Linked DNA regions of Alligator mississippiensis. The protein of the gene in region 3 interacts with the protein of the main gene of each other region in a pairwise test. Links are inferred from orthologs where the notes say so. Each region holds a gene or a part of one and is shown on either strand. Other genes may lie near its edges.

Region 1 (7,708 bases), on a different chromosome or scaffold from region 3:
CCAGCCAGCATACTTTAGCTTTAACAACATGCACTCTAGCCCTAAACTAGGGAAGCTGGAACCTAAGAGCTACAGTGCTCATCAAATGGAAGGCACATGCCCATGACTGCCGTGCATGGAGCGTGCCTGGGTTTGTGACCATGGGGATCTAGCACTCTTTGGCCTTGTCCTTTCACCTGACTCTTGGAGAGTCTGGTCTCCAAGAAGCAGGACATGAGGGGTTCCCTGGTTTGGAGCTATCCCATGTGCCAAGGCAGGGGCTGGAATATGTGGGGGCTGTCTGGGCTCAGGAGGAGAAATAAGGCCAAGATGGTGGATCTGCTGTCTAATTTCTGTTTCTTAATTCACCCCAGCAAGGGCTGGCTCATAGAGCTGGCCAAACACATTACCAGGGGGAGAGCAGTAGCTCTCACCTGCCATGTGAATGGGATAATTCTTGTGCAGCGTGGGAGCTGCTTAGTGCTGACTGGAGGGTCTCCTGGGGAATTGGGGGGTCTCCTCCCTCTTATAGCCAGTCTCCTTAGCTTCTTTTTCAGTGGTGAGCTCTGTCCCCCTGATGCCTACTTCTGGACACCTTCCTCCCCAGGCAGCATGGCAGGACAGTGTCATGCTAGGCAGGGGTGAGTCAGTGTTGAGTCTGCCTTCTGGAGGGGGAAGGGGAATCAGGGGCTCTTGCATTTATCTGTGCCAGCCCTTGCTCTCCCTTGGTGACTGGGGGAAAAAGAATCAAATCTTGGCAGGAAACCTCCCTGGAGCTTGGGTAGAGAACAGGACTCCCCCTCCTGCAGGGAAACACAAGGATGGGCCAGCACTCAGCAGACAAACTGTATAATCATTTAAAGGATGCAGCGCTGAAGAGCCTGAATCAATATTTGCTCCTGATCCTGTGCTGGTCCAAAGGTTTCGCAACTGACTTCATTGGGAGCAGGTCAGGCCCTTGGGTCTTCTGAAGGCTGGCCCACCACACACTTTTCATTTCTGTGCTCGAAGTTTTTTGATTTGTCTGAGTGCTGGAGAGCTATGGGTGAGTTGCCTCTATAGAAAATACTAGAAGCCTGTGGGAGGCAGCTGGAAACATTCTTCTTATAATTTTCTTTTTCTGGGTCTACCCATGCCACTCAACTCCAGAGAAGAAGTGAAGGGTTAAGGTCCGGGCAGTAGGAGAACTGAGCTCACTTTCTTAAGAGACCTCAGCCAAGCCAGTCAAGATGAAATTATTTTTTCTGAAGCTCTCAGCACTGGTCTGACTGAGATCCCATTGAAGTCAGTGGTAAAGCTCCCATTGATTTCAGTGGCGGCAGGATTTGGCCAGTGCTAAAAGCTATTCAGAATAGCGCTTTTAGTGGCAGATGGCAGTGCTGAGTAGCTTTCAATAAGCTAGCTCAGATCCCCTCAGAAGTTCACTAGCGGAGGCCAGACAGAGTCTACAAGTGGGGCGGTGTGTCTGGAAGTGGGATTGCCCTGCAAAAAGTCTAGGAACCACCATGATACACTCTAAGAAGTCTCCACCGAGCACGTGCAAACAGATTTCTCTAAAAGCCTGTTGGTTGGCTAACTTTGTGGTAAAGGCACATCCATGACACAAAAGTTACCTTTGCATTATCCTTACTGTATCCTGTATTTCACTGATCTCATGCTGGGTAGGGTTATTGGGGCAAGGGAAGGATTTGTGGGACATCACCTTATTAGGTCTCATATTAGTGGAGATGGAGAAAGAAAGCATTCTCCTGTTGGGGAAAAGGGCCATATGTGGATCACTTAGAAATTCTCAAGGCAACAACTGTATTAGCCGCTAACACTGTTTTAGGTGACATATATAGATGTAGCACAGACTATAGTACCAAGCGTGTTCTTCAGCTCTAGGGAGTATGAGGATCTGTAGGCTGCAGCAGAGCAATACAGGTCTGCTTGCAAAGCCTATGGTCATTGGCTTCAATTTCAGGATAATAAATGAACTCTTTGGTGCTTAAACTTTCTGTCTTAGAAGCTGTTTTGACCCAAGACCAAAGAGGTAAAGTACTAGGGACATATAAGCAGTCAACATGGGGCTGCCCTGATAGTAGCTGGAAGAGTGGTCTTTACATCCCCCTGTGAAGTCAGTACCCAGACAATACAGCTTGGGGTGTCTGCCACAGTCCTGGTCAGCTAACTCTGTGCCCAGGTCTTGGTGGTAGGCATATATCAGTGGCCATTGAGCTGCTCCCTTCAATTTGACTCTCATTATTAGGGGCAGGAAAGAGGCTGCTGGGGTTCAACTAGTGGATTTTGGACCCTGTGTTTTTAAATGGCTAGAGTGAAATTTCTAAAACTCAGTGCTTAAATTGCACTTGCTTATTATGTACCTACTAAAAGGTTATCTGTTCATGGAGACATGCATATCATTATGCAGCTCTGTGTTAGCAAACATGTATACACGTGGCAACTGCACATATGTTTTTACATGTCCATGTCTATACACCATCACCACCCCAGTTTGTGTCGGGGTGCCCATGCCCATTTTGTATATGCAGTTCTTCAGCCAGGCATATACCAGTTGGTTTTGTCCATATGCATGCCACACGCAACACTGGTTTTAGGGTTAAGTACATCTGCATGTAAAATCTTTCTGTCATGGACTGCTGCCAAACATTCCAGGGATGTCTGAGTGGGAGACTCCCACTGAGCTTCTGCACATAGTGGGAAGTGCATCCTTCTTTCCAAATGCTTCCATGGTATGGCAATAGAACAACAACTGAACAGAAGCAGTGAGAGAGACCCAGCAGAGAAGAAATTAAAGTTATTAGACCTTGAGGCAGATTGGGTGTTTTATGCATGTCTGGAAAGCAGCAGGAGATGCAGGGGTGGGTGAGGTGGGAGCTCTGGCTTCCTGGCAGTGAAGGGCCAGGTACCGCCCTGAGCAATGCTCTGTCTGTTGCAATCCTCTGTCTGTAGTTCAAAGCCAGGCTGTCTGTATTCTCACAGAGCATTTTATCTCCTGATGCTGAGAGGTGGAGTCATAATATAGCCTTGCAAGAGTCAAGCTAAGCCCAAGGACTTGCTCACTTTCTCACAAAGCTCAGTTTGCAGGAATCACAATACATCTGTTAAAACCAAGGGTATCCCTTGGAGGGATCGTGGACACTTACATGAATTACACATGGCACTCAGGTAATCATATAAGGGGAAACTTCAAGCTGAAGCCCAGCCAGTTTTACAAAATAAGCTCCAAGCTTTACCTTAGACCACGCTGCAGGGCAATTGTCTTTGTTTAAAATACTATTTTCTGATGGTTTTCCCCATTAGTACATGGAAGACCAAAGCTAAGGCACATCTGCATTGCAGGGGTTGCAGTCTGCCCAGACCTACTTCATCAAGTTTAAACTAGCCAGCTTGAGTCCTGCTAGCCATGTAGCAGCAACAGCATGTGCTCAGCTTGGGCATAATGCCTATTCACCCAGCTTCTTGGATGGTTTTGCACCTGAGCCCAGTGCTGTCACAGCTACACTGCTAGCAGAATCCAAGCCTGCCAGTGTAGAGCTCTCTAGGCTGCCTCTACATGAGTTGCTATAGCCATAGTGAAGGTATCATAGACATTTATGAAAGCACCCAAGTGACTTAGAAGCCAAAGTCTTGTTTCAAAAGTGACCAGATCCTCTAAAGCAGGGTAGTCAACCTGTGGCTCAGGTGCCACAAGTGGCATTGACAGCCTCTGTGTGTGGCACATGGCAGACTGGGGTTGGGGGCAGGTACCACAGTGGCAGATAGGGCAGGGAACAGAAAGCAGCCCATCAAATCAGGCAGGGAGCACAGAGCAGAAAGCAGAGCAGCAGCCTACCTGATTTGACAGGGTAAGGGAAACAGAGTAGAGTGGTACTCAGGGAGGTGTTGGGGCTAATTTGTGGTACTCCTGCCAAAAAGGTTGGCCCCCAATGCTCTAGAGTCTTTAGGTGCCTAATGCCCATTCATTTCAAAGAGGGCTAGATCCTGAGGAAATGAGGTGCCTACAAATCCCGGAGGATCTGGGGCCAGATGTTATTCTACCTATTCAGCATCTAAATGGATTTTGGTGACTAAATGAAATCCTATTCCACCTTGCTCAAGTCCCTGAAAATCCATGAATGCATCTGCTTTTGTAGCTTCCCATCATTTGACTCTTCAGACTGAGACGTGCAAAGCAGGAAGGAGGAGGGGGACTCCACCACCTTTTACATTAAGAGTTTTTCAGGCATTGAGCAGAGTGGAATAGGATCTCACTTAGATGTCTAAATCCACTTAGATTAGATGCCTACTCTAGATGCATCTAATCTTAGATGCCTAAAAGGTGGAATAAGAGAGTGCAGGGAGAAGAGGGAAATATTTTGTAATCATAGAATCTTAGAAAACAAGGGTTAGAAAGGACCTCAGATCATCTAGTCCAGTCCCCTGCTCCAAGCAGGACCATCCCCAACTAGATCATCCCAATATTACAGATTTTACAGATATTACAACATTACGAGATTACAGATTTTCTTGTAGTCTCATCCAGTCCTGGTTATTTGGGGTGCTGTTTGCACCCAGAGTGGGTGGATCACTCTGTGGGCAGGAGTGGCCTCATTAATCTGACAATGTCTCTTTAACATCACTCTCATTTTCTCATTAACTCTGCTTCCTGCCCTCCCATTCTTCAACTTTGCTCTGTTGTGCACTGGTCCGGGTCACTGACTCCTTTCCATCTCTGTGTGCAGGGAAGTTGTTTCCTTGGGGTCTGGAAAAAGCTCAGCGTGAATCAAGGTAAATATTCCTACTAGGAAGCTTGCAGGCAGAACAAAAACCCAGGGACAGTCACTGCCACTATGCAAGCCTGCTGACAGTCAAAGCAGCTGGGGACATCGCTAAAGAGGGCTTGGAGTGCTTGAAGTCCAGGAGCCAATCCCGTGCTTGCTTCCGGGGGTGTCTCCAGGCCACTTGTTTTGCTGCAGCCTGGTTCTTTCAGGGACTAATATTTTCAACCCTCCCTGAACCAAGACGGTCTCTCCTGCACATAAAGGAGACTGTCCTGTTTCCCTAGCAGCTGGAGTTGGAGAGAGATATAAGAGAAAGCTTTACTTTGGAGTATGGAGGAGCACAGTATAAAGTGGGGGTGGGAGCCTTGGAGGCAGTAAATGAGAAATGAGTGATCTTTACTCTATTTCTGCAGCCCTCAGGTGGTCAAGCCTTTGACACCTAGTTAAAGCTTCTGATCTGGGGAACTCTGAATATTTGGAGACTGCATGGGTTGCAGCCGCCTTTTATTGCTGCGTGATGCTGTGCTCTCAGATCTGCCTTCTGGAGAATATAGAGAGCAGCTCAGGAAGAAGAATCCTTGATTTGGGTAGAAAGGAAATCCCAGAGGTGGAGGTGGGAGCTGGTGCCCTGTTTTCCAGTAAAAATGACATTCTGATTTATTTAAAAATCACCTTGATGCTCTGGCGAGAGGTTTGATCAGACAGGCAGGCAGATGGGCTTCCAGTTCTTCAGGAGCACTGTTGGGGTTTGCCAAAGGGTCAAATCCCAGTTTGCCAATTCTCTTTCTGCTCCTCTGGTAGCATACGAATGTCTTAAGAGGCAGGCATGGCAATAGTTGGCATGGAACTGGCATGAGGGCTTTACAGTAACCTTATTTCCAGGCCATGGGATAGGAAGCAAGTTAGGGGCAGGGAGAGGATGTGGCTGAAGTGCACTGTATTACTTCTTGCTTCCACTGAGGCTCTGGAAAGTGCTGTATGTTAGAGCAGCTCAAAGTTTGCTCTAAATTACACCAGGAGCCCTTGAGTATATGGACTACAAAGGTAGCTTAGGCTGTTCTCCTTGCATCATTTCTATTCCCAGCACAGGAACAGAGTAAATGAAAATCAGGCTGCCAGTGTCTAACATGGAGCAAGGTGGGCAGAGCTGTGGCAAAAGGTGTTGCAGGATGGGCCAGGAGGCATTGCAGAGGCTGTGTAAGTGCCTAGCATAAATATAATAAGTCCATCACCTGTCTCCAAGGTTTGCTCATTTACTGCATCCATGGCTGCTTTAGGATTCCCAGGTGACAGCACCTGCCAAGTGTGTTCCTTATCACCTGCACTGAGCACAGACGCTGAGTCCTTTCCTGCAGTTATAGGGGGCTGGGTCTCCTTTATTGTGCCTTTCACATCCCCTATTTATATCACTGCCACAGGGTGTCTGAGAGACAGCACATTCAGACCTCTGGAACAGCTAGTGCACTGTATAGCAGCCCTGCAGCAGGTCCATGCTTTGTGAACTTCACTGTCAGCTGAGTGATGCCTGGGGGAAGCCTAAGGATTTGGGTTTAATCATGAAAGTCCAAAGTAGTTGAGACCCCAGTGCTAGAGAGGCTTCCCTTTAGGATGCTGAGGCACTTTAGCCTAGTGGAAATGCTCCAGCTATCACCCCCACCTGCAATACATGGACGTGGCGTGGCAGCTAGGCATGCTTTCTGGAAGAGAAGCCTGGATGTGGGACTCATTTCCTTCCTGAGTTTGCTAGTGTCTAAATCTGAAGAGCCTTCAGGTCCACCTGTCTGCCTGACTTTCCCCTGGGGAGGAAGAGATCCCTGGGTGGGCGGACTGATTTGGAAGCCAGTGTTAGAAATAGTCTTCTGTCTGTGGTGGTGGTATTTCCTCCTGAGTTTACAGGCAGAGCAACCAGTATGTTGCCATGACTTGTGAAGCTTCTTGTTCATTGTAATGATCACCAGTATTTTCTCCTTCCATCCAGTTTCCTGTTAGTATGTTTTTGATCTCTGTGTAAAAGGGCCCAGATGCACTCTCCATCAATGACATAAGTTTGCTTGATCTCTATAAGCAGCATTACACAGCATGAGAAGCTCCTCTCCCAAAGATCAACCCAACCACCAGCCATATCCCAACAATCCCTTGGCCCTTGGTGAGGCCCTCCATGCTGGAAATTGCACTTAAGGAAAGGCAGATTAAAGTTGCCTTTTAGTGAAACTGAAAAGCAGAAGGAACTGCATTGAACTACTCTGAGAACAAGGCAATGTCAAAAGCCCCAGCACATGTGAACACAGAAGAAACCCCTTTGTCTCTTATTCAGGGATGAAATTTTCTCAAGGGGATTTTGAACCATCTTGGCATGGAGTAACCTAGAGCAGAACAGCACAGCAATCTGGTCATTATCTCTAAGGTGCTAGCAATAAGCTTTGGACATGTAGGGAGATTTTAAGCCAGACTTTGCTCTTGCTGTCAGTTTGACTTCATGGCCAAGCCGAAAGAGCAAATTTCACCCTGCTAGATTTTCCTGTGCCCTTCTCTGAGTGTGGTTCAATGAAAGCTGTAGGCTGGATCATTTCACCTATGCCAATGCAAATTCAAGATAGCTCCATTAACTTCCAGTCAGGGGAGATCTACGCTGGTGTAACCCAGAGTAACATAGGACCTCTAGTCTCTCCAGCCTTCTCTCATTGCCTTGGCATATACCTTGTCCATCTGTAGGTGTCTGCTGTGGCACTGATGGCAATACCAGTGGAGACAGATGGGAGAAAGTTCCATGTGGTTACTCCTGTGTTGGAGAGCCTGGCTCTGTCAAAGGCTGCAGGCACCAAGGTGTTCATGAAGATGGAGAACGTCCAACCATCAGGCTCCTTCAAGATACGAGGCATCGGCTACTTCTGTCAGGAGGTAAGCATCACATAGGGATGAGTAAGTTCCAATATCCCTGTAGTGACATTTGTTATCTGGCAGCCTTT
Region 2 (8,016 bases), on a different chromosome or scaffold from region 3:
AAATGACAAGAGAGTCTGAAGCAGGGATGGCCCATGTACCAGATCAAGCCACCGGAGCCATGTCATCCAACGCACAGAACTCTCCACTGGTCTGAAAATTTGGCAGGGGAGCAGCTGCCACTCCCTTGATGCCAAATTTCTGGACACAGGGGGAGCGCCACAGGCCACATAGTGTGGCCCCAGGCACTAGATCAGGTATGCAGGGAGGCAGGGGGAGTGTGGAGCACCAGGGCCTGATTTGAGCATGTTGGCCTAGGAAGTATAGGGGCTAATCCCCAGTGCACAGGGTCAGGCAGAAGCAGTGTGGGGCACCAGGACCCAATCCCAGCACATATGGCTAATCCTGTCAGCCAGTGGCCAGTGCAGGGCCCAATTTGGGTGTTACATGGGCTGGTCAAAGCTGTGCAGGGCCTGATCCTGGCACGTGGGGCCCGCTCCAGCCCTTGAACCAACTGTGAGCCACATATCTGGCCTGTGGGGCCAAAAGTTTGAGCACCACTGGTCTATAAGATTATGAATGGGAAGGGAGCTGGTTCATGGGACCACTTTGCATGACCACTACTATGAAAGAAGGAAAGGTAGAGATTCTGCCTTTGCCTGACTTCAGGCTAACATAGCTCACTATCTTTCAATGAAAACACTGAGAACCTCTGAATTAGCATGCATATCTCAAACACCTATTTGAGCAAAGCAGTCCTCGCTCATACACTTTCTTTCCATGATTCAAAGGTAATGAAGTAAAAAGATGGCTAAACCCACACAGAGACAGTTCCCAGCCTTCTATCTGTCTATAGTGTAAAACAGAGCATTTGCAGGCATAGTCACCCAGATTTTCAAATGATTAAAGCTTCAGTGGGGAAGCAATTTTGGGGCGATATCTTAAAGTAGTTCAGAGCAACCTTCCTCTGAAAAACTGAGCCAAGCATGGAAAAGCTGGGACACTCAAAAACACTAGTCACTTCTAAAAATCCTCAGTCATTATTCAAACCAAGTAATGAATTTTGCAAAGAACTCAAGAGCCTAACCTTAGAGCTTTGTTATAACAGCCCTTGATGTGCTTTCTTGTATACAGCCAGTACCTTTTCAGTTGTTCCACTCATACACATTTTTACTTATTCGAGGCTTTTCTGGGGCAGGAAATAAGTTAAACATGGGGGACAAGGTTAGGATTCTTCAGATATGTACTCCTTCTCTGTGCACCTCAGGTGCAGAGACATCTGCCAGAGGAGGTTTACAAGCTACAGCTCCAGAAACAATACATTTTCACACTTCCTGAAAAAGAAAGGCAAAAACCCTCCCTTTCCCCTTTAAGGATCATTGTCTTGAAGCACTTGATACCATTTCTTTGCCTAGTGCTCTCCTTGTCAAGTTGTACTGTTGACTAGCTCAGACTTTCCAGTGCCATAGCAAGGTCAGCTGCCATTTCATCCACCTCGCTCCCCCGCCCCCCCCCCCCAACAGGGATAAATTATTCAAAGGAACCTCAGGTATTTTAAAACTCTATAATAAAAAGTCTCCCCATCATGCTAAGTGACATGCATTTATGAAATGAAGCAACATGAGTGGAAAACATTCAGAAGTCATGTCTTCTCACCAAAGCAATTAAACAATGAGAAATGACATGAAAAGCCTTGAATTCATTTTTTAAAGTCAGCGTTATCAAAGGCGCTCTGCATTATCTGCTATTGATTTGATTGGCACCGCTCCCAGGTTTCCTGCCTCTGCACCGCGTCTCTCTCCAAGCGCTATTCTGAGATTGGGCTCTTTGTATGGCATTTCATGCTGCTGCTTACAGTCTAAGCACTCACTTTAAAAACACCTTTCACCAAACTTGCTGTTTAATTCTGCCAGGTCACTGCTCCCACTTTCCTGTCAAGTGAACAGACCCCGGGTACCGACAAACATATGCCTCTCCCTTCCCATGTCCGGACACTGCTCTCTAGAATAGAACTTGCCATCTTGGAGCTGTCCCTCATACGATCCTCTCCGAGGGGATGCAAAACAGTGGGGCTGTGGCCAGCCCAGCTCCACAACCCTGTTTCCAAAGGGTGCAAAAATCTGGAACATCGATGGGCAACCGCATCCCGAGCATACCCTCGCCTTACACAAGCTACCGTGTCCCACCTGTGCCATCATCTTACACAGGCATTCACATCCCGGCTGTGCTCTCGCCTTACCGGTGCAACCACATCGCAGCTATGCCATCCTGCAAGGGTGACCGCATCCCAGCCATGCCCTCGCCTTACATGGGTGATCGTGTCACCTTACATGGGTAACTGTGTCCCACCTGTGCCATTATCTTACACAGGTGACGGTGTCCTGGCCGTGCCCTCACCTTACACGGGCAACCATGCCCCTGCCATGTCCTTGCCTTACACGGACAACTGTGTCCAACCTGTGCTGTCCTCTTAGATAGGCAATCATGTGCCAGCCATGCCCTCACCTTACAGGGGTGACTGTGCCACCTTACAAGGGCGACCCTGCCCCTGCCATGCCCTCGCACTACGGGTGCGACCACATCGCAGCTATGCCATCCTGCATGGGCGACTGCGTCCCGGCCGTGCCCTCGCCTTACACGGGCGACCGCATGGCAACCATGCCATCCTCCAGGGGCGACCGCGTCCCGGCCGCTCCACCGCAGCGCGGCCCCTGGAGCCTGCCCCGCCGGCCCGGAGCGGGGAGAGGGCGCGCAGGTGCCGCTCCGCAGCGCCCACAGGCAAGGGCAGGGCGGCTTCCCGGCGGCCCACACCCCGCGGCTGCGGGCACGGGGCGCAGAGAAAGGCGGCGCCGGGCGCGGCAAGGGGTGCTCCGCGCCAGCCCCCGCGCCTACCTGACGACGCTCAGGCGCTCCCCGGCCGCATCCCCGCGCTCACGCCGCTCGCAGCGCCATGTTCTCCCGGGCCGGGGGCTCGGCCGGCTGCTGCCGCTACATCCGGGCTGTGCCGCGGCCGGAGACGCCCGGCGCCTAGAGGGGCCGCGCCGCCTGCCGCGGTGGGCAAGCCCGGAGCCGCCCGCCCCCTCCCCACGTGCAGAACAAAGCCGGCTGCTCCCGCCCTCCGCGCTCCCGCCCCGCCCCGCCCCGGCACTGCCAGCCCCTGCTCCGGGCAGCCGCGCCGCCGCGGGGGGCACCCGGCTCCCCGGCCCCCGCCGCAGCCAGCAGCGGCTCTCAGCCTTGTTTGGCACCAGGACACCTCTGGAAACGTGGATGGGCAGTTGCTACCCGCTGCCCCATCCTCTAAACCAGGGGATCTCAACCTGTTTTTGTACCAGGACCCACCTATAAACGTGGATGACCAGTTCCTACCTGCTGCCCCATCCTCTAGACCAGAGGGTCTCAACTTTTTTTTTGGTCCCATGACCCATTTGTAAACGTGGATGGCCAGTTCCTAGTTGCTGCTTCATCTTCTAAACCAGCAGGTCTCAACCTTTTTTGTACCAGGACCCACCTATAAACGTGGATGGCCAGTTCCTACCTGCTGCCCCATCCTCTAAACCAGCGGGTCTCAATCTTTTGTACCAGGACCTATTTGTAAAGATCCATCCGAGCCGCTGCCCCCCAGTGTGTGGGGCACGGGGAGCCCCCCAAGCAGCCCCTTGCAGTTGGGAGTCCGCGAGGGAAAAGCCATTTTTTTCTCCTTCCAAGGAGAGCCCATTTTTTAAGTTTGTGGATCCATTTTTCAAGTTTGTTCACCACCCTTTCATGTATCTGTGCAACCCACTTTTGGGTCATGACCCATGGGTTGAGAAATGCTGGGCTCTAAACTCCCCTCAGCCCTGACACAGCACAGACCTAACTCCCTACACTGCTGCAGGTAAAGCAGCAGACAGCCAACTTCCTGCTTTTATAATATATTGTCAGTATAAGCTCCCCTCCGTCCCCCTTGCTCTCCCCAAAAGACAGTGGCCGGTACAGGTGCCTCCTGGCCCAGTTGGGGGCTCCCCACCTCCACCTGGCAACTTCCCCCATCCCCAGCCTGATGTGCCCCCGAGTCACAGGATCAGGATGATGCTGGCTGCAAAACAGGATTGTCGGTGCCGCGGTTCCCCTGCTTTACCTGCTACCAGGTAGGGGTTAGGTCTGTATAGTGTCAGGGTTGAGGATGCTATTATGCAGTTTAGATCAGCAGTTTCCAAATGGTGAGTCACAATCCCAAATGGGGTCACAGCATTAGTGGATGGGGTCATGGGGATGGAGGAGCTGTGGGTCAGGAGTGAGGGACCATGGTGAAGAGATGGAGCCATAAATGGGGTCACACTGGAAACATTTGAGAAACACTGGTTTAGATTATGGGATGGTTTACATAGGATAATCCTGCCTCAGACAGCGGGCTGAACTACATGACCTCTGGGGGTTCCTTGCAGCTGGACTTCTCTATTACCCCAGAAACCATTATTGTCCATCAGGGTCCAGTCAGTATTACTAGTGTGTGTTGGGATAGAGGTAGCCCCCTACACCCAGGGCCAGGTCTTCATTGTGGGTGGTTTTTAAACAAGGTGCCTCTGCCCCCTGGGGTGCCTTGAGAGCCTTTCAAGAGTGCCACGGGGTGCCACGCAATGCTGGCACTGTCAGATGTGCAAACATCCTTCACAGGATGAAGCAAGAGATTTCAAATAGGAATCTGCAGCGTCAAAAATTCCCTGCCCCGTTGCAACTGTTGCAGGTGTTTGAGTTCTTAGCAGCAGGGGAATTGCTCTGTTAATTTTTCTGTAGTCAAAAACACAGTGAAAACTGGCATTTTCTGAGGGGAGCCTCAGGTCTAACGAGGGGTGCCTTGGGGCTAAAAGAGTCAAGAACCATTGTGCTAGATGCTGTGCAAACACAGAAGGAGAGAGCTGGTCTCCCTCCCCAGAGGGTTTAGTTTAAGACTAGAGATGACAGCAGGTGGATACAGACAGATAAGGGAGCCCAAGGAAGAAGAGAACAAATTTTGCTCCGGTTCACTCTGCCATGAGAATGGCACATACATGAATCTGATACAAGACGCCACAGTTATACTGATTCGCAGCCTGTATTCTGCTGGGCTCCGTGAATTTTTGGCTGCAATCTTCTCCCTCAGGTCTAGGATAGGTCTATAATGCTTTCCCAACTCCCCTGAGGAGCTTCATTCTTGAGCACGCCTTACTCCACCCACTGTGACATGCATAGACCAAGCTTAGAAATGAGGGAAAGACGCTGCTACCAGGGTTCCTTCTGCTACTGCACTTGAGCATACTGGAGACATACCAGAGCGGGGGAAGAAGCATATGACTAAACTTAAGGAAGCTTCTCCTTGTCAAGTAATACAAATCTGACCATGCATACTCTATATGGACTCAATACCCCCTGCATTAATTAATGAAAAGTCACACTCCTGCATGGTAGGTGCCACAATGAGCCAAACTGCACCATAGCCAGGTGCAATTTGGTAGTTACAGTATCAAGCTCTGAGCCTCACACCATGGCCCAATGGTATTCCATGGTTATGCCAGAAGGAGAAGGTGGATGCCCTTGCTCCAAGGGCACTAGCCCCCACACTAAGGCCTAGAGAACATCTTCAACTCCTAGCGGTAGAGTGCCTGCGACACAGTCACACAGCACTTTCCTTCTAATAGAGGGTACCCACAGATACTTTCCAGATCAGTGGTGGACAAACTTTTTGGCAAGCATGCCACAAGTCTAAAGTGTCAGACAGAGCCATTCTCATTCTCAGTACTGTCATTGCCTAGTGCTGGTGAATCCCTTCACCACCAGGATATGGCAACACTGAATTTGGTGGCACCTAGCTGTGCAGCTCCCGCCGGGCCAAGCCCAGCAACATTGACCCTCAACTGCTCCCCAGTGCCAGCATCCCTGTGCCAAACACAACAGCTGCTTATGCCACTTGCGGCATGTACGCTGCAGCTTGGCCACTAGTATACCAGATCTTTGCGATACTTGACCAATTTTACAGACAACCTGAGGCATAGAAAAATTAAGTAAATCATAGTTTCATAGCACAATAAAGATTAAAGGGACCTCAAAACATCATCTACCCCAGCTCCCTGCTCAACTCTGTCTAAACCCCCACCAAACAAATAATCCTGTACTTGTGTCCTCCTCTTTAACTCTAGTTATTTGCCATTTTGAGAATTTACAGAATGTACTATTAGGACAAGAACAGTCCACTCCTAAGCTTCCTATTGTAGGAAATAGGTACTCAAACATGTCCCTGAGGATTTTGGGGAAAAGTTCAGAAAACACTCGCCTTTTCCTTGTAAACTGTGTGCACTGTTCACAAAATGTATTTGACAAAAGCCTGTACTTTTCTGAAGACGGGGGCTGGGAAAACCAGGACTGTCACACCATTACAGAGTCACTGCTACAACTAGGTAGAGAGATGGTAGAGACTTGCTTGCCTCAAATACCTAGCAAAAATGCCAGTTTAAAATGCAAGAGGCCATTGAAGAATTGGGATTTTGGATATAACAACAACTTCGAGCCTGTATTTTTAAATAAAGTATACAAAAACCCCTGTTTTTCTTGCCATATGGTTCCCACATTCTTTTCTTTGCTGTTAGTGTCTGTTTTATCAGACATAAAAAACCCTTTAAATGAACATGTAGACAGACATTGTAAAGGAAATGCTAAAATGTGTAGTTTGTTCTCACTCAACTTTAAATTCTGAGAGGGTTGCTCACTGCTTCTGTGCTTGCAGCCCTTGCCTGGTCTATGATGGATGGTGGCACCACAGCCTTGTCATCTGCTAGCTCCTGTTCTTTGTCCTGCCTGGCCTAGTTCCATTGCCTTCATTTCAGACAGCAGACCTTGCACTTTGCCTTTATTCTCATCCTGGTCCCTACTCCTGCCTTCTGTTCCTGTACTCACACTATCTGTGCCTGGCAACTGACCTTAAATTCAAAGAATCCTATGACGGAAACTAATTTTTAACAAAATGTGCAGTTAACTTGCAGAACTCATTGCCACAAGATATCATGGAGGCTGGGAACTCTATTGAATTCAGAAAAGAATAAAGCTTCCAAGTGGATCATGAGAACATATCGCTAACTAGTTATCATAGAGCTGCTTATTGTTGGTTTTAATTATCGATTGACACATTCTTCCAAAGCTTCTACTTCTGGACATTGTTAAAGCTCTTCATATATGATCTCCCATTGTTTTAAATATCTTGATGGTGTTTTAAATGTTCTTTTACCCTAGGTATCCTTACATGAATTTTAAAGCAGCTGATCTAATATGCATTTTCATTTTTGTAAAATCTCCCTGAGTAATGGATAGACCCTTGCAATGAAGTCAACTAACTAAACAAATAGAAAGGAAGCAATCAGAGAAACATTGTAAAAAATATATCCATATAATGCAATTGGGGGGGATATATGTAATTCAGATATAATGTTGCTTGTAATTTATGTCTGACTCTGAAAGCTGTCTTAGCCAACACCATATCAAAATATGCCACAAAAAAAGATTAAGATTGTTTTAATAAGGGTCCATAACATTCCAAATGTTTATCAGCAGAAATATCTATTGTATGATATCTGATTTAAACTCATTAATCATACTCTTGACAGTCACTGAATACCAGATGCAAAATCCTTTTCAGTGGAATGTAAAATTTTTTGGGAGGAAAAACTGCAAGTGCCTGATTTATGCAGCCTTATGTAAAAGGATGGGTCATCACATATTTAACAGGCTAGAACTGAATGTGATTTCTAATGCATTTCCAGTACTGTGAAATAGGGACTCTGACAGGAACATCTCAAAGGTGTAAGGTGGGGGTACATTAGAGCTGTACAAGGGCAGCTGTGATTGCTACAGGTCAGTTTTGCAAGCCGAGTGAAAAATTCCCGTAACTGGTTTGCTTAGTGAGCAATAGACACATTTGTGTAATTCCTCCACTAGCAGCAATCACCATTCCAAACTCTGCCATTTTGCTTTCTCAAGGAGGTAATATTACTGATACAGTACATCATTCTCCACTTTCTTCACTATGCCTAGAAGAGGGAATACCTGAGATATTGGAGCAATGCTGACTATTT
Region 3 (6,980 bases):
TCCCACTAACCTGTTAATAAAACCAGCTTCTTCCCTAGTATCCACAAGAAGTAGGTTTGCTTGTCCAAGTTACACTTCCACCTCCGGATTTTCCACAGTGCCTGTGTCTTTAGATGTGAAACCCTTCAGAGCAGGGAGCCAATTTTTTGTGCGCTGTGCTGTGCTGAATACATAGTGATTACTAAATTCATTTGATACAGCAACTACAGCTTCAGCTAACAAATTACATCAACCAGTAAAGGGTAAGGACAGTATTTCAGTTCTGAAATGAGATCTTTTCTGAATGCAGCGCTTCCTCTTTCCTCTCTCCCCTTGCTAGAAATCCAAGCAAAGACAGCAATGAGTAAGTCTTCCAACAGCAGCTATATTCAGAAAGAATAAAATTCACCCCTGAACTGAAAACCAGCACAGAGGCTCATCACCCTTCAGTATTATGAAAAGATGACAAAATAGAAAGAAAGCGGTGCTTTGGCATTGACCCTTGCACGGGGATGAATTTTAACCATCATAGGCTTGGCTGAATGCTAATGCCCCAGGAGAAGAAGGAATCAATGTTGCTCTTTCTTAGGAAGAATTCAAGACAAATTCCCCCAAACCCCAGGAATTCAGGATACGTTTGCAGGACCATTACCTCAAGTCCATTGCCCAGCCAGGAATCACTCTGACAAGTTACCCCATTTCTCAGGTTTCCTACTAACCAGAATCGCGGTCTCTCTCATGCAGCTCTTACCATGCTCCCTGATGTTGACGCTGTGAGCGATTATAAACAGCAACAGGCTGACTCCAGTGGCACGTGGGATCCTGCCCTAGAGAGGTGAACTATACTAGTGACTCCGCACAGGGGCAGGTAACCGAGGTCCTCTCTGACGGCAGCCCACAGAAATGAACTATGTTGTTATCTCTGTACACAGCAGGTGACTCACAGGCCATGGCTGAGTAGTGACTGCGGCAGCTCATTTTGGTCAGAATTGTTCTCTGTACCCGAGCCCCTGTGATTCCTTAGAAAATGGACACCAAGACCCCAAAACTGATGGGCACCTATTAGGAAAACAAGGCACTTTGTCTCCAGCCCCCTGGAGCTGCACCTGCTTTCCCCTGTCCCAGTCCAGCCACCGAAGACAATGGCAAGCCGGCCGTAGGGGAGCCAACTTTCTGCCCAGGTGTGGGAGACCTATCTCAGAGCTGCAGCTGTCCCAAGGCCTGATGCTCCCAGGGCCAGAAAGCACAGGTGACAGCAGCATGATTGATCCAGTGGTGGCACATGCAGCAGCAACCCAGGAGCATGGATCAAAGACCAAGCTGCTCCTGGTGCCACCTCCTTCCGCCCTGGCAGGGGTGGGGTGGGGCAGGGCAGGGCAGGGAAAAAGAGGCCGTGCACGGAGTCAACGGAACCAGGTCGGACCTGACCAGAGCGGAGCCAGCACCAGCACCAGCACGAGCACCAGGGACAGCCCGGCCTGGCTGCTGCTCACTGCTGGGTGGTGCTACTGCTGCGGGGCTGTGGGCTGGGGCCCAGGGTGTGCAGAAGCCTCCTGCCTCCAGGGAGGAGCTGGCGAGTGCAGGCCAGGACACAGCCAAGGGAGCAGGGATAGGCAGGTCAGGGCTCACCAGTTGCCCGTTCCCACCCACTGGTCCCACTTGCACCTATGGCAAGTCTCTGCCAGCCATAGACGGCGCCATGGCCCAGGCCCCACAAGTGACCACGTCCCCAGGGCAGGGTGGGGGTAGAAGCAGGCACCACAGCTACCCCTCTGGGAGGGGTGAGGATGAGGGCACCAGAGGCCAAAATGCTGGGCCATGCCCAGGCAGGTTCAGGATGAAGCAGCACAGCTGCCACTGGGCAGTCAGGGACACTTTCTCCCTCTTACCCACAGTGTGGGTTGCAATACCACACACCCTCTGGAAGTGCCTGCACATTGCGAAGCTCTGCCCGGTGCCTGCAACATCTTGCCCATGGGCGGCACCCCTCATTCATGGGCACACTGGAGGGGAGGGGAGGGGAGGGACAGGATCCAGCTAGATCTAGACAGGTTACAGATGTGGGCGGATGAGAATAGGATGGAGTTCAACGCAGACAAGTGCACGGTGCTGCATCTAGGGAGAAGGAGCCTGCAACACACCTACGGGCTGGGAACTCCCCTCTCAACAACACAGTGGCTGAAAGGGATCTTGGAGTCATTGTTGGCTCCAGGATGAACGTGAGCCGCGAATGTGAGGCAGTGGTCAGGAAGGCCGACCACACCTTGTCGTGCATCCACAGATGCATCATCTCGAGCAGGGCCAAGGAGATGATCCTCCCCTCGATGCGACACTGGTCAGGCTGCAGGTGGAGTACTGTGTCCAGGTCTGGGCGCCGCACTTCAGGAGGGATGTGGACAGCACGGAGAGGGTCCAGAGGAGGGCTGCCCGCATGGTCAGGGGCAGCAGGGCAGGCCCTACGCGGAGAGACTAAAGGGCCTGAAGCTACTCCACAAGAGAAGGCTGAGGGATCTGGTGGCCGTTTACAAACTCACCGGGGGGACGAGCAGAAAACAGGTAGGGCTCCGTATCCCCAAGCACTACCTGTGATAACAAGGAATAGTGGCCACAAATGGACGGAGAGCAGGTTCAGGTTAGATATCAGGAGCGTTACTTTACGGTCGGGGCTGCCGGGCTCTGCAATGGGCTCCCGAGGGAGGTGGTGCCCGCCCCTGTCTCGGGGGTCTTCAAGAGGAGGTTGGCTAGAGCTCTGGCTGGGGCGATACGATCCCAGCGCTCGTTCCTGCCCAGGGCAGGGGTCGGACCTGATGATCTGTTCAAGTCCCTTCCGACCCTAGTAACTATGAGACTCACACGTGCGGCTGAGCAGCGATATCGGCTGGACAACCCCTTCTCCCCAGCTGTCTGCCCTCAGACTGCAGGGCAAGGCCGAAGCGGTCAGTGCTGCCAGGTGGCGGCTGCTGGAACGAGCCCTGCGTCCCGTCGCTGAGCGCCTGCCGTCGGAGCTGCGGGAAGGCTGGACCGCTTCCCACGTTTGCTGCGACACCCTGAAACCGGGGGGTGGCAAGACTACAGCGCCGTGGGCGCCGCTTTGCTGTGGGAGTCGCGTGTGCGCACAGGGAGGAGACCGAGCGGGAAGCAAAGGAAAGGGAAGGCGCAGGTCTGCACCGTGACGCTGGGGACACGAGGCGGGGACAGACCGCAGACGCTCACCCAACACCTCCTGCCTCCGACCCCGCGCCGCACACGGGGAGCTACCCCGACGCCCCGGCCCTCAGCCGGGCCCCGCCACCCAGCTAGCGCCACGCGCCTCTGCCTCTGGGGGCGGGCTGTGTGCACCCTCAGCCCCGGGCGGGCGGGCGGGCCTGGAAAGCAGGCTGTGCCGTTACATTGCTCCCGACCGCCCGGGGCCGGCGGCTCCCGCACAGCAGACTGCCGGCCCGCGGGCCAGCCAGGCGCGAAGCCCAGCTCGAAGGACGAGGACTAGGACGAGGGCGTGGGCCGCGGCGGGGCGGGGGCTCGGGGGACGGCGGCCAGGAAGGGCCGGAGGGCGAGCGCTCGGGCAGGAGCCGGCCCAGCTCCACGAGCGCCCGGGCCGCCTCCCTGCGCTGCCAGCGGCGCGGCTCCGCGCGGAGCGAGCGCACGCGGGGCCCGGGCCTCCCGGCTTCGCACCAGGCGCAGCGCGCCCAGCTCTCCTCGCCGCCTCGCGCCCGGGAGTCCCGAGGGAGCTGGCCGAGGAGACTCCTGGGCGAGCCGCGCCCACGGCTGCCCGCGCCTCGCGCGCCCGCCCACGCCCCGCGCGCCACGCCTCCCGGCATGCTCTGCGGCTCCCGGCGGCCTGCGGGACTCCACTTCCCAGCATGCTCCGCGGCTCCCAGCGGCCTCTGCGGTCTGCGGGACTCCAGTTCCCGGCATGCTCCGCGGCGGCGGGCGGCCTGTTTGGCGGCGGGCGGTGTTTCCCGGCATGCCGCGCGGCCCCGGGCAGGATGATCCACGAGCTGCTGCTGGCGCTGAGCGGGTTCCCGGGCGCCGCCTTCACGTGGAGCAAGCGGGGCGGCCTGCAGGTACCACCGCCCCGCCCCCCCCCCGCCCCGTCCGCCCGCGCCGCGCTCCCGCCCCGCCCCGCCCCTGACCGCCCGCCCGCCCGCCCGCAGGTGAGCCAGGAGCTGCCCTTCCTGCACCCGAGCGAGACCGGCGTGCTGAGCCGCCTCTGCCGCCTGGGCACCGACTACCTCCGCTTCACCGACTTCGTGGCGCAGTACACGGGCCACGTGCAGCAGCAGCAGCAGCAGCAGCAGCAGCAGCAGGTGGGGCCGCGCGGCCAGGCGGGTTTACCGCCACAGCGCCCGCCCGCCCGCCCTGGGCGCGGGGCACGAGGCGGATCGGCGGGGCCGGGCCCTGGCACCAGACCCCTGCCCCCTCAGTGCCGCGGGGCCGTGCCGCAGCGCCCCGCCGGCTGTGCGTGCCCTGCCCTGCCCTGCCCTGCCGGCGCCGGGCGGGGAGCAGGGACCCCCGGGCAGCTTGCACTTGGCTCGGGCCGCGCCCCGCGGGGAGGCAGGCGGCGTCGGCAGCTCCGGCGCAGAGCCCTGGGCCGGGCCGGGCCGGGCCAGGCCGGGCGCGCTGGTGCAGGCGCCGGTGCGGCAGACCCGGGCCCCGCGGCAGTGGAGCGTGCCGGGCTGTCTTGGGGTCCGCGTCCCCTCGCTGGGGTCCTGGCTGCGCTCTGCCCGCGTGCCCGGCGCGTCGCCCTCTGACATCCCAGGTCGTCCGCTCAAACTCCTCCGTGGGCCGGCCGAGAGCCGCGGGCTGGCCGGGCCCAGGCGCCGGCAGGGCCGCCGTTCGGCCCCTTGTCTTGGCACATCCCCGGGCAGTCTCGCTGCACGGCGTCTGCAGCCCCAGGCGCTCCCGGGCAGCAGCGGACACCGGTCTGTTCTTCTCCGCCTGGTGCTTTCCTCTGGGGCCTGGTTATTAACCCGCAGATTTACTTCTCTTTCTGTTCTGTCTTTTTCTTCTGTCAAGAAATGGGCTGCGCAGCTCGTGGTGTCTCTGGCCGCCGAGGGGGGACGTGGTTCCCAGCAAGGCAGAGCTCAGTTACAGCGTAGCAAATACAGCAGTCTCCGGTGGGGGCAGGTAGTAAGTGCTTTAGAGGGAGAGCCCATGGCCGGGGCACGATCCTCTCCGTGTCACCTTCCCTCGTTGGTTTAGAGGTCAGAGGAGGCAGCCCTGACTTCTGTCTAATAGCTCCCAACGGACCTGTCCTTCCTCTCCAAGCTGCTCATACCTTCCCCTGCCACAAGTCAGCTACGCACTGGACATAAACAAAAGCTTGTCGTCTGACGAGATGCCTGTGGCGGAGCGCTCTCGCTGAGCGACGGCCTCGGGCCCCTCGTTAGGACATTTCAGCGTTGCTGACCCCGTCGGTCACATCGCGTACTGACGGGTGGGCGGTCACTTCCATTTGGTTCTCCGTAGCGATGTCTGCCTTAGCGCAGTACTGTCTTACCCACGGCAATCAGGCTAATTTGGAGAGGGAAGGAGAGCAGCAGGGAGAGAATTACCACGAGCGCGAAGAGCAAAGGCTTGTGAAGCCCCTGCAGCCCCTACCAGGCAAACCTAATTCACCTGGGGAAGAACAACAACTTGCAGTCGCTCAGACTGGACAGGCTTTGCAAGACTCGAGGGTGCTCCCCATCCCGCTAGGCTGGTGGGGCTGTGGCAAGTGCTTTACATACATGTGCCTCTTTCAGTGGCTGCCCCAAATAACAGCAACATGTTAGTGGCCACCTTTATTAGATGGTCTTCTGCCTCCGGACTGCCTTGCAGTGGGCACCTGCCTCTTCTGTGGTGAGTAGTGTCTCTGAGGGGACTGAATCTAGGTCTGCTCCATCCTTGCCAGCGCAAGCACCATCTCGTAACCTGTCCGTTCTGTTGGCACTTGCTGCGGTTGTTCGAGATGGGTATGTTTGTAACTTGGATCACTGGGCTGGTGTTAAAGCACCATCCAGACCTGCCTGGGGCCAATCCAGACTTTCCTGTTTGATTGCAGGACCATCACCCATCCCAGCAGAACCCAAGCGGGCTCCATGGGATTTACTTGCGGGCCTTCTGCACGGGGCTTGACTCTGTGCTGCAGCCCTATCGTCAGGCACTGCTTGACCTGGAACAAGAGGTAAGAGGGAGGTGGCCGTGCGTGTGGCTGGGCGCTGGAAGTGCTGCAGCCTGAACTCTGGCGCAGTGGGAACCTGCCTCTTGTATGGCGAGTAGCCTGACAAGCAGCTGCCAGGGACAGGACAGGAACTTTCACTTTTCACTTTGGGGATGTCTTCCAAATGGCTACTGCAAGTGCAGTCACTACTGGTCAGCGTATTCTGTGTCACTGACTTCCTCATCCATGGGAGGGCTCCCTCAGTGCCCGGGCAAGGCTCTGTCGCTCCAGCTGTAGTGATCCATGCTTTTAGCTCTGAAGATTTTTGACTAATCCCCTTGTCATGGCCAGGATAGCAGTGGTCATGTAACCTCTCAGGTGGGGTCACTGAGTCAGTGGTCTCACTGTGAGTTGCAGCCTGAAGTGGGACATGGCCCAAAAGTCTGTGGAGTGAGCTGTGATCAGGCCATTCGCTCTCGCTTACCTTCTCATAGGCTGTGGATTATTTCAGTTTGTGCTAACTGCTGTTGTTGTTGCAGTTCCTGGCTGATCCTCATCTCTCCATCTCGCACGTTAACTATTCCCTGGATCAGGTATGTTGCGTAGGACCTAGAGGCTTCAGGTTTATGCACCTTAATACTCATAGGTACAACATGGGTAATGCTGCAGAGCTTGGCATTGCTGCTAGACCCCCATCTTTCCAACCACCTGACTTTTGTACTTATCTCCTGAGTTTTAAAGTTGCATCAATGTCACCATTACCCTTTAGACCTAAGCTTGCAAGAAGAAATAGAGTTTCCTTCCTGCAAGGTTGCAGTAGCTGGTAGCACATATGTCACCAAGGTGGAGGAAGCTACGT
Region 4 (7,532 bases), on a different chromosome or scaffold from region 3:
CTGGTCTGGAACCAGGCTTCATTGGTTAAGAGAGTTCTTGGGCTTTTATTGTAGCTCTGTGACACCTAACACTTCAATCCCCACATCATGACTCAAGTCTGCCTGAGCACTACATTCTCTGTCTGGCAGGAGTTCCCACCCTTCCTTCTCTGCATCAATTCTAGCCTCTTGCAGCATCTCTGAATTACCCCCTTATGGAGCACTGCCTCAATCAAACCTATCCAGGAAGCTTTCTCTAGGAAATTCCATTATTTCCTTCCTCCCCCTGCCTTTCCAACACCCCCGTCGCATATCCACTTGGCACCTCCAGTCTTTGAGGTTTCCAGTTGATGGCTAATCAAAAAGGAGAATACAGTGATACTTTTTTTTTTAACAGAAAAGTAAGGGCAGATTTCAGCTGGGAGCAATTTATTGGGTGTTCCGCCATCGTTTTAATCTCTAGCATTTTCATAGCACTTAGCTGCAAAGCATTTTACAAACACTAATGTAATAATTTGTGGTGAAAAGTCACCATTTGCTGGCGGAATTTGCAAAAATGACCTATGACAAAGCCAATATTTGTGAACAAGAATTGGTTGGGTTGGGTCTTGTTGCCCCATTCAGCTTTATCTGTAGTATCCACAGTGGTGTTGCATGCAAACAAAAACCTCTCTCAAGTGGAGTGCCTGCAGTTCTGCTTCCTTTCCCCACCCCGCCCCATGTACTTCTGATCTGTTTAAAAATTGTCCATTTTATACTGAATGAAACTTGCACAGTTGATTTCTGTATTAACAGATTAAAGATTTAGCTTTTAACAGAATTTTGTGTTCCTCTCTGAATCTGTGCAACAAAAGACAAAAAGAGCTTGCTTAGGTTTTGTTTTCTATTGACTTTGTTTGGCTACAGAAACTCCCTCTCTCCCCACCCCCAATCGATGAAGAGCAGCTTTGAGGTTCAGGACCTCCCCTTAAGGTAAGCCGGAGTCCTGTGGTTCAGAGGTAGAACTGAGAATCTGGTTCTGGTGATCGTTTTAGAACATGTTAAAGATGCACTCAGGCAGCATTTCTGTTGGGAGGGTTTGTAGCACCTCCAACAAGAGGACAGCACTGGGCATTAAATCTAAATGAAATGCTTAGTTTAAAAAAAAAATAAAAAAATCCAATGAATAGAGGTGCACCGATACATCGGTCTCATATCAGATCGGCACAGATATAAGGAACATTGACGGCATTGGCAGTCTGTTTTTTTTGGCTGATGTGGCTGATAATGTGGCCAATAAATGCCCTGTGAATGTGCACAGCTGCAGCGCACCACGCAGGCAGCCTGAAGCACAGCCCAGCAGTGGAAAGCAGCCGGGTCTGACTGACAAGTCTGTTGTGGGGGAAGGGGAGAGGGGCGAGGGAAGGGCCATGTGGGGGGTAGACCAAGGCTACGCCAGTGAGGGAGGGAGTGGGGCTGGAGCAGGGGCAGGCGCTGCACAGAGGGGACCTCAGTCCGCCCTTCCCCATAAGACTTACCAGCCAGATGCTGCTCTCCATGCTGTCTGGCTGCATATCGGCAATAAGATTGGTATTGGCCAATACGGCTTGTTAAAAATTGACCACGAGCATCAGCCCAAAAATTCTCTATTGGTGCACTCTACTAATGACAGTTCCATAGTTTTATAGTTGCTAGGGTCAGAAGGGTCCTGAGCAGGTCATCAAGTCCGACCCCCTGCCATGGGCAGGAAAGGATGCTGGGTCAAACGACCCCGGCAAGGTGATTGTCTAGCCTCCTTTTGAAAACCCCCAGGGTAGGAGCAAGCACCACTTCCCTTGGAAGTTGGTTCCAAATCCTAGATGCCCTAACTGTAAAGTAGCGCCTCCTGATGTCTAGCCTGAACCTGTTCTCCGTCAACTTATGGCTGTTATTCCTTGTTACGCCCAGTAGTGCTGGGGGGAACAGGGACTCTCCCATTGCCTGCTGGTCTCCCTTGGCCAGTTTATAGACAGCCACCAGATCCCCTCAGCCTTCTCTTGTAGAGGCTGAACAGGTTCAGGTCTCGTAGCCTCTCCTCATGGGGCCTGCCCTGCTGCCCTCTGATCATGCAAGTGGCCCTCCTCTGGACCCTCTCAATGCTGTCCACATCTCTCCTGAAGTGCTGTGCCCAGAACTGGATGCAGTATTCCAACTGTGGCCTGACCAGTGTCTCATAGAGGGGGAGGACCACCTCCTTGGACCTGCTCGTGATGCATCTGTGGATGCATGACAAGGTGCAGTTAGCCTTCCTGACTGCATCCCCACATTGGCAGCCCATGTTCATCTTGGAGTCTATAATGACTCCAAGATCCTATTCTGCCTCTGCGCCGACAAGAGGGGAGTTCCCCAGCCTGTAGGTATGCTGCTGGTTCTTTCTCCCTAGGTGCAGTACCTTGCACTTGTCAGTGTTGAAACCCATCTTATTCTCATCTGCGCACTGCTGTAACCTGTCCAGATCCAATTGCAGCCTGTCCCTCCCTTCGAGCATGCCCACTTCTCCCCGCATCTTAGTGTCATCTGTGAATTTGAACAAGGTGCTTTTCACCACCTCGTCCAAATTGCTGATAAAAATGTTGAACAGTGCAAGCCTGAGTACCGAGCCCTGGAGGTCCCCACTGCCCACATCCCTACAGGTTGAAAAAGACCTGTCCACCACCACTCTGGGTGCGGCCATCCAGCCAATTGGCGACTCATCTGACTGTGTAAGCACCGATACCACAATCTCCTAATTTTTTAACAAGAATGGGGTGAGAGACCGTGTCGAAGGCCTTCCTAAAGTCCAGAAAGACTATGTCCACCATGACACCTGCGTCCAAGGATTTTTGTGACCTGGTCATAGAAGGCCACCAGGTTGGTCTGACAGGACCTGCCTCTGATGAATCCATGTTGGTTGCCCCTACGCATACACTCCGCTGCTTGCCCCTTGCAGATATGCACCTGGATAATTTTCTCAACAAGCTTCCCCAGGACCGAGGTAAGACTAACAGGCCTATCATTTCCTGGGTCCTCCTTCCTCCTTTTTTGAAAATGGGGACCACATTGGCCCTTTTCCAATCCTCTGGCACCTCGCCAGAGCACCATGAGTGCTCGTAAAGCTGCGCCAGGGGTCCTGCAATGACCTCTGGTAATTTCCTCAGCTCTCTGGGGTGGAAATCGTCAGGACCTGCTGATCTGAACATGTCCAGTCCCTCCAGAAGTTCCCTGACTAGGTCATCTCTGACCCTGGGATTCCGGTGGGGGAGATGACCTGGTCCCTGCTCAGAAAAATGGAGGCAACAAATTGTTAAATAGGTTAGCTTTGTCGTCTGGTGTGATGACCAGATTTCTAAGCGTGTCCTGCAGAGGCCCCATGTTACCCGGAATGTTCATTTTCTTCCCTATGTATTTAAAAAAGGACTTCTTGTTATCTTTGATCCGGGTTGCTAGTCCCAGTTCCATCTCCGCCTTGGCCTTCCTAACAGCCCCCTTACAATCCTGAGCAATGGAGATATAGTCCTCCCTGGTGATGGCCTGTCCCTTCCATTGGGTGTATGCCTCTGGGCCTTTTCCAAGGAAGAGCCCAGACCCCTACAGATTGATCCAAAACAGAAGCAAGAACCAGCTTCAGATGCCTGAGCAAGTGTGCTGAATGCAGGTGGGGGATTGCGTAACTAACCTCCTTCACACGTCTGTGAGGAAAGACATGGGCAAGGAACAAAGAGCTCCGCCCTGCATAAGGCTACTGGGCCTTGACAGCTCTTGCTCTTCCAGCTCGGCTCCTCCACGTGCCAGTGCAACAAGTTTGGCTCCTTGTCTTTTGAAGTAAACACCTGCCTCTCAAGCACTGCCCTGGCAGCTCTGGTGCTGTTTCAAGACTAACACAGCTACAACCTACACCCGTTTCAAGACCACGCTTTCTCTCTGCAAGTCCTTAACATGTCCCAGGATTACTAGGGGTAACACACAGGCAGCCCCTGATGCCCCAGTCTGAAGAAATGCTTCACCCACTGCAGCCAGGAAGGGGGAGGACTGTGGCCCCTTGTCCACCAGCTTCCCTGCAAGCCTCTCCCCCCCGCAGGACTCCAGCCCAGGCTGCTGAATGATTTGCTCAGCTGTTTGGAGTAGCCTTCAATTCTGTATGGGGGGAGGGGCTCCCCGGTGGATGCGGTGACTACAGCAGAGGGAAGCTGTCCGTCCCAGTTATCACCAGCTGCACGGGTGCTAAGAGCCAGCCTAGCCCCCACGGGCGCCTGATCTAATGCGCCCAGGGGCCCGGGCATGCGCAGTACGCCTGAACCACTGATTGGATGCCAGCCCGCCAATCACCTGCCTCAGCCCGCGACCTGCCTCTACATCCGGTTGGGCCCGCAAGGGGTGCTGGGAGTTGTAGTTCAGGGAGGAACTACGTCTCCCGGGAGGCTCGAGGCTGAGCGCCGAGGTGGGAGCAGTTGCTGTGGCAACCGCGCGGGTCCGCCCCGGCTCAGCCTGCTCCCGCCGGGGTGCGCGGCGCGGGCTGCAGCCTCCGCCCGCAGGAGACCGGGGTTTTCTCCCTGCCCCCGCCGCTCCCGGCACCGTTCCCTTCGTCTCGTCCTGGGTCCGCAGTTGGGCCTGACAAGTCATTAAGACACAAAAACCGACCGCGGACCATTCACGTCCCGGCCTCGAGCCTCAGTTGGCAGCACTGACCCAGGGTGAGCTTCCCTTCAGCCTGCTGGATGCAGAAAATCATGGACACTGGATTTATGCCACGTTATAACCTGACTCCGCAGGTACCTCTCCGCAGTTCATCATCCCCCCACTCCTCAGTTTACATCCTCACCGACGGCCTTTCCTGGCGTGCAGACCGGCCGCCGGCCTCTTTACTATTCGTTCCCTCCAGGAAGAGCTTCCTCAGCCTGACGAGGGGTATTTATACCCGCAAGCTTGCAAAGAAGAATTTTTCCAGCGATTTGAGTCGGTCTAATAAGAGATATCAGACTCACCCAAACAGCCGTGTCCGCCTGAAACCGGGATGGTGTTTCTTACCCCTTTCGTGGGGGTATTTGACCGTCTCAATGTCTCTGAAACATTCAGGGGTCGTCCCATCCAACTCGCTGCAAGTGCCAAGCGCTTTTCTTTCTTTTTTTTAAAACCAATCTGCCCTTGCCTCCGTCTAGGTCAGCGCTTCCCAAACTTCACCTCGGCATGACCCCGTTTTCCTCAGCGTGGCCCCTCGTTCCCAGCTCCCCACCCCCGCAACCCCATCCACTGCTGTTGGCACCCCACTGGGGGTCGTGACCCACGGTTTGGGAACCGCTGGTATAGAGAGCGGTGAGATGGAAAACTTGAAAGGTCTTGGGTAGAAAGGGAAGTCGGCTGCGCAGCAATCCTGCTGAATGTGGAGGTTGAAGCAGGAAATCTTGCTCTCTCTTTCCTTAGACCAACCGGGCTTGAATCGATTGGGTCGCGGGATTACGTTGTTAAACCGTATCTGGAGGTGGAGACTGAATGACTGTGAGCAGAAGCCCACGGAAGAAAGGACCCCTGCAAGCCGTGAGATGGTGAGTGTGACATGAAGGGGCAATGGGTAGAAAAGAGTTATGAAAACTAGAAACAGAAACGGGCAGACTTCATTGCTGTGATGCCCTAAGGCAGAGGTTCCCAACCACCGGGCCATGGCACAATACCGAGCCACAAAGGGTTGGCTGTCGGTACGCAGTTTGCTGGTCCACAGTCACTTCCAGTCCACAGTTTGCCAATCCACAGTATAAAAAAGGTTGGGAACCACCGTCCTAAGGCAGCGATGATTGAATGCACCACTAGACTTTTGCAAATCCTGGCTGTCTAGTTAGCACCGAGCAGGGACTGTGCTTGCTACAGTTACTTATGGTAATCTTCAGGAGTATGCGGGACAGATTCCATTATTTCATGCATCATGTCCCAATTGGCCTGGGAAGCTTTCCCATATTGTGTCGGGATTGTACAAGAAAATCTGACTTTCACTTCAGTAAACAACAGGGATCGTGGTGGACGTGTCATACCTGGTATCGTAAGCCACCCTGAGGCTTTCTGGATAGTGCGGGACATGCATCTAAATAATGACAATAACAATAATGTTGCATCTGGGCTGGCTTGCCTAGACTGAGTTATCTAACGTGGTTCTACGATACAGAGAATTAACAGGGCAGTGATTCTGCTGCTCTGATCAGCACTGGTTAGGCCTCCCCTGGAGTACTGTGTCCAGGTTTGGGCCCCACACTTGGAGAACGATGTGGACAAATTGGAAAGAGTTCAGTGGAGGGCAACAAAACTAAGTGATTACAGACCTGGGTAACATGACTTATAAGGAAAGGCTGGAAGAGCCAGGATTATTTAGCTTGAAGAAGAGAAGACTGGGAGGGGGGGTGGCGGAGTTGATAGCAGTCTTCAAAAACTGAAGGATGATTATAAAAAGGATGGGAATAAACTGTTCTCCATGGCTGTAGGGGACAGGACTAGGAGCATGGTGTCAAACTGCAGCAGGAGAAATTTAGTTTGGAGATTAGGAAGAACTTTCTGACTGTGAAAGTGGTCAAGCATTAGAACCGGCTGCCTAGAGAAGCTGTGGAAACTCCATCCCTGGAAATTTTCAAGAGCAAGTTGTGCAGACCCTTGGCTGGGTTGGTTTAGTTGGGGATGATCCTGCCTTGAGCATGGGGTTGAACTAAATGGCTTCTTGAGGCCCCTTCCAGCCCTATGATCATCATGCAGGAAAAGTCCTGTTGGATGTGTCTTGCTTCCGGTGCTTATTATTTTTGTAACAAGCCAAAATTTATTTTTTTCCTTAGGCTACAAAACCGAAGAAAGGCTTAAAAGGTATGAGCCCTCGTCTGCACCTCACTACCCTTAGTCTGCTTGAGAATAGGTGGGTCAAAACTGGGGGTGCTCCTGACAATCATAGAAGTCCAAGGTGGTGAATCCTGGCTAATGATTCACTTCCTTGGTTCAAAGCCATGTCAGACATGCAGAGTGTTAGTATTGCTTGAGTCAAATCATTGCTGAATCAGCATTGAATGTCAGCTACCCCAGTGGTTCCCAGCCTTTTTTATGCTGCAGACCAGCAAACTCACTCAAAGAATACTGGCGAACCGGGTATAGAAACAATCTAATTTACATATTTAAATTTATTTTTTACATGGAGGGAGACAATGGCCAAAAATCATACGTACACATCACTAGCTGGCTAATGTTAGCTACCTAGCTGCAGAGGATACACATAGGAGACAAGCCAGACATTAGTGGTTACAACAGTCTCGCTGATAGGGAAGTGACTAGCCACAGTTACCACGGTCCAATTTCAAAATCTAAAGTCACAGTCATTGGCCAAGCGGAGGATATTTTCGCCCAGCCAGTCATCAGGGCATGGGTGCGGCCTGGGCATAGAACTGTTGCTAGCAGTGGTTAAAGCTCATGCCGTGACCCGGCAGCCAACCCTTCATGGCCTGCTGGTTGGAAACCTCTGAGCTACCCCTCAAATCAGATGGATATGCCTTTTCTTAGGCTCCTGTCACATACTAATTTAAAGTTGTCCTGGGATC

What was found.
Region 1: the proteins of TUBGCP4 (region 3) and SDSL interact in a two-hybrid assay, tested with the Homo sapiens proteins (2 studies listed by BioGRID and IntAct). The two-hybrid records come from large-scale screens. The link is inferred for Alligator mississippiensis from reciprocal best matches to the Homo sapiens genes TUBGCP4 and SDSL.
Region 2: the proteins of TUBGCP4 (region 3) and PAK5 interact in a two-hybrid assay, tested with the Homo sapiens proteins (2 studies listed by BioGRID and IntAct). The two-hybrid records come from large-scale screens. The link is inferred for Alligator mississippiensis from reciprocal best matches to the Homo sapiens genes TUBGCP4 and PAK5.
Region 4: the proteins of TUBGCP4 (region 3) and FBF1 interact in a two-hybrid assay, tested with the Homo sapiens proteins (2 studies listed by BioGRID and IntAct). The two-hybrid records come from large-scale screens. The link is inferred for Alligator mississippiensis from reciprocal best matches to the Homo sapiens genes TUBGCP4 and FBF1.

What each region holds. Positions count from the first base shown.
Region 1 is NC_081833.1:25,867,776-25,875,483, reverse strand, and holds the start of SDSL (serine dehydratase-like), read left to right. Parts: upstream 1-4,641; 5' UTR 4,642-4,749; intron 4,750-7,454; 5' UTR 7,455-7,472; coding exon 7,473-7,640; intron 7,641-7,708. UniProt on the Homo sapiens protein: Catalyzes the pyridoxal-phosphate-dependent dehydrative deamination of L-threonine and L-serine to ammonia and alpha-ketobutyrate and pyruvate, respectively. Also exhibits racemase activity towards L-glutamate and D-glutamate.
Region 2 is NC_081824.1:223,326,451-223,334,466, reverse strand, and holds the start of PAK5 (serine/threonine-protein kinase PAK 5), read right to left. Parts: upstream 3,005-8,016; 5' UTR 2,831-3,004; intron 1-2,830.
Region 3 is NC_081834.1:441,231-448,210, forward strand, and holds the start of TUBGCP4 (gamma-tubulin complex component 4), read left to right. Parts: upstream 1-3,911; 5' UTR 3,912-3,965; coding exon 3,966-4,043; intron 4,044-4,133; coding exon 4,134-4,286; intron 4,287-6,018; coding exon of another isoform or gene 6,019-6,022; coding exon 6,023-6,145; intron 6,146-6,660; coding exon 6,661-6,714; intron 6,715-6,980. UniProt on the Homo sapiens protein: Component of the gamma-tubulin ring complex (gTuRC) which mediates microtubule nucleation.
Region 4 is NC_081831.1:13,306,822-13,314,353, reverse strand, and holds the start of FBF1 (fas-binding factor 1), read left to right. Parts: upstream 1-4,426; 5' UTR 4,427-4,667; exon of another isoform or gene 4,668-4,745; intron 4,746-5,394; 5' UTR 5,395-5,513; coding exon 5,514-5,516; intron 5,517-6,782; coding exon 6,783-6,810; intron 6,811-7,532. UniProt on the Homo sapiens protein: Keratin-binding protein required for epithelial cell polarization. Involved in apical junction complex (AJC) assembly via its interaction with PARD3. Required for ciliogenesis.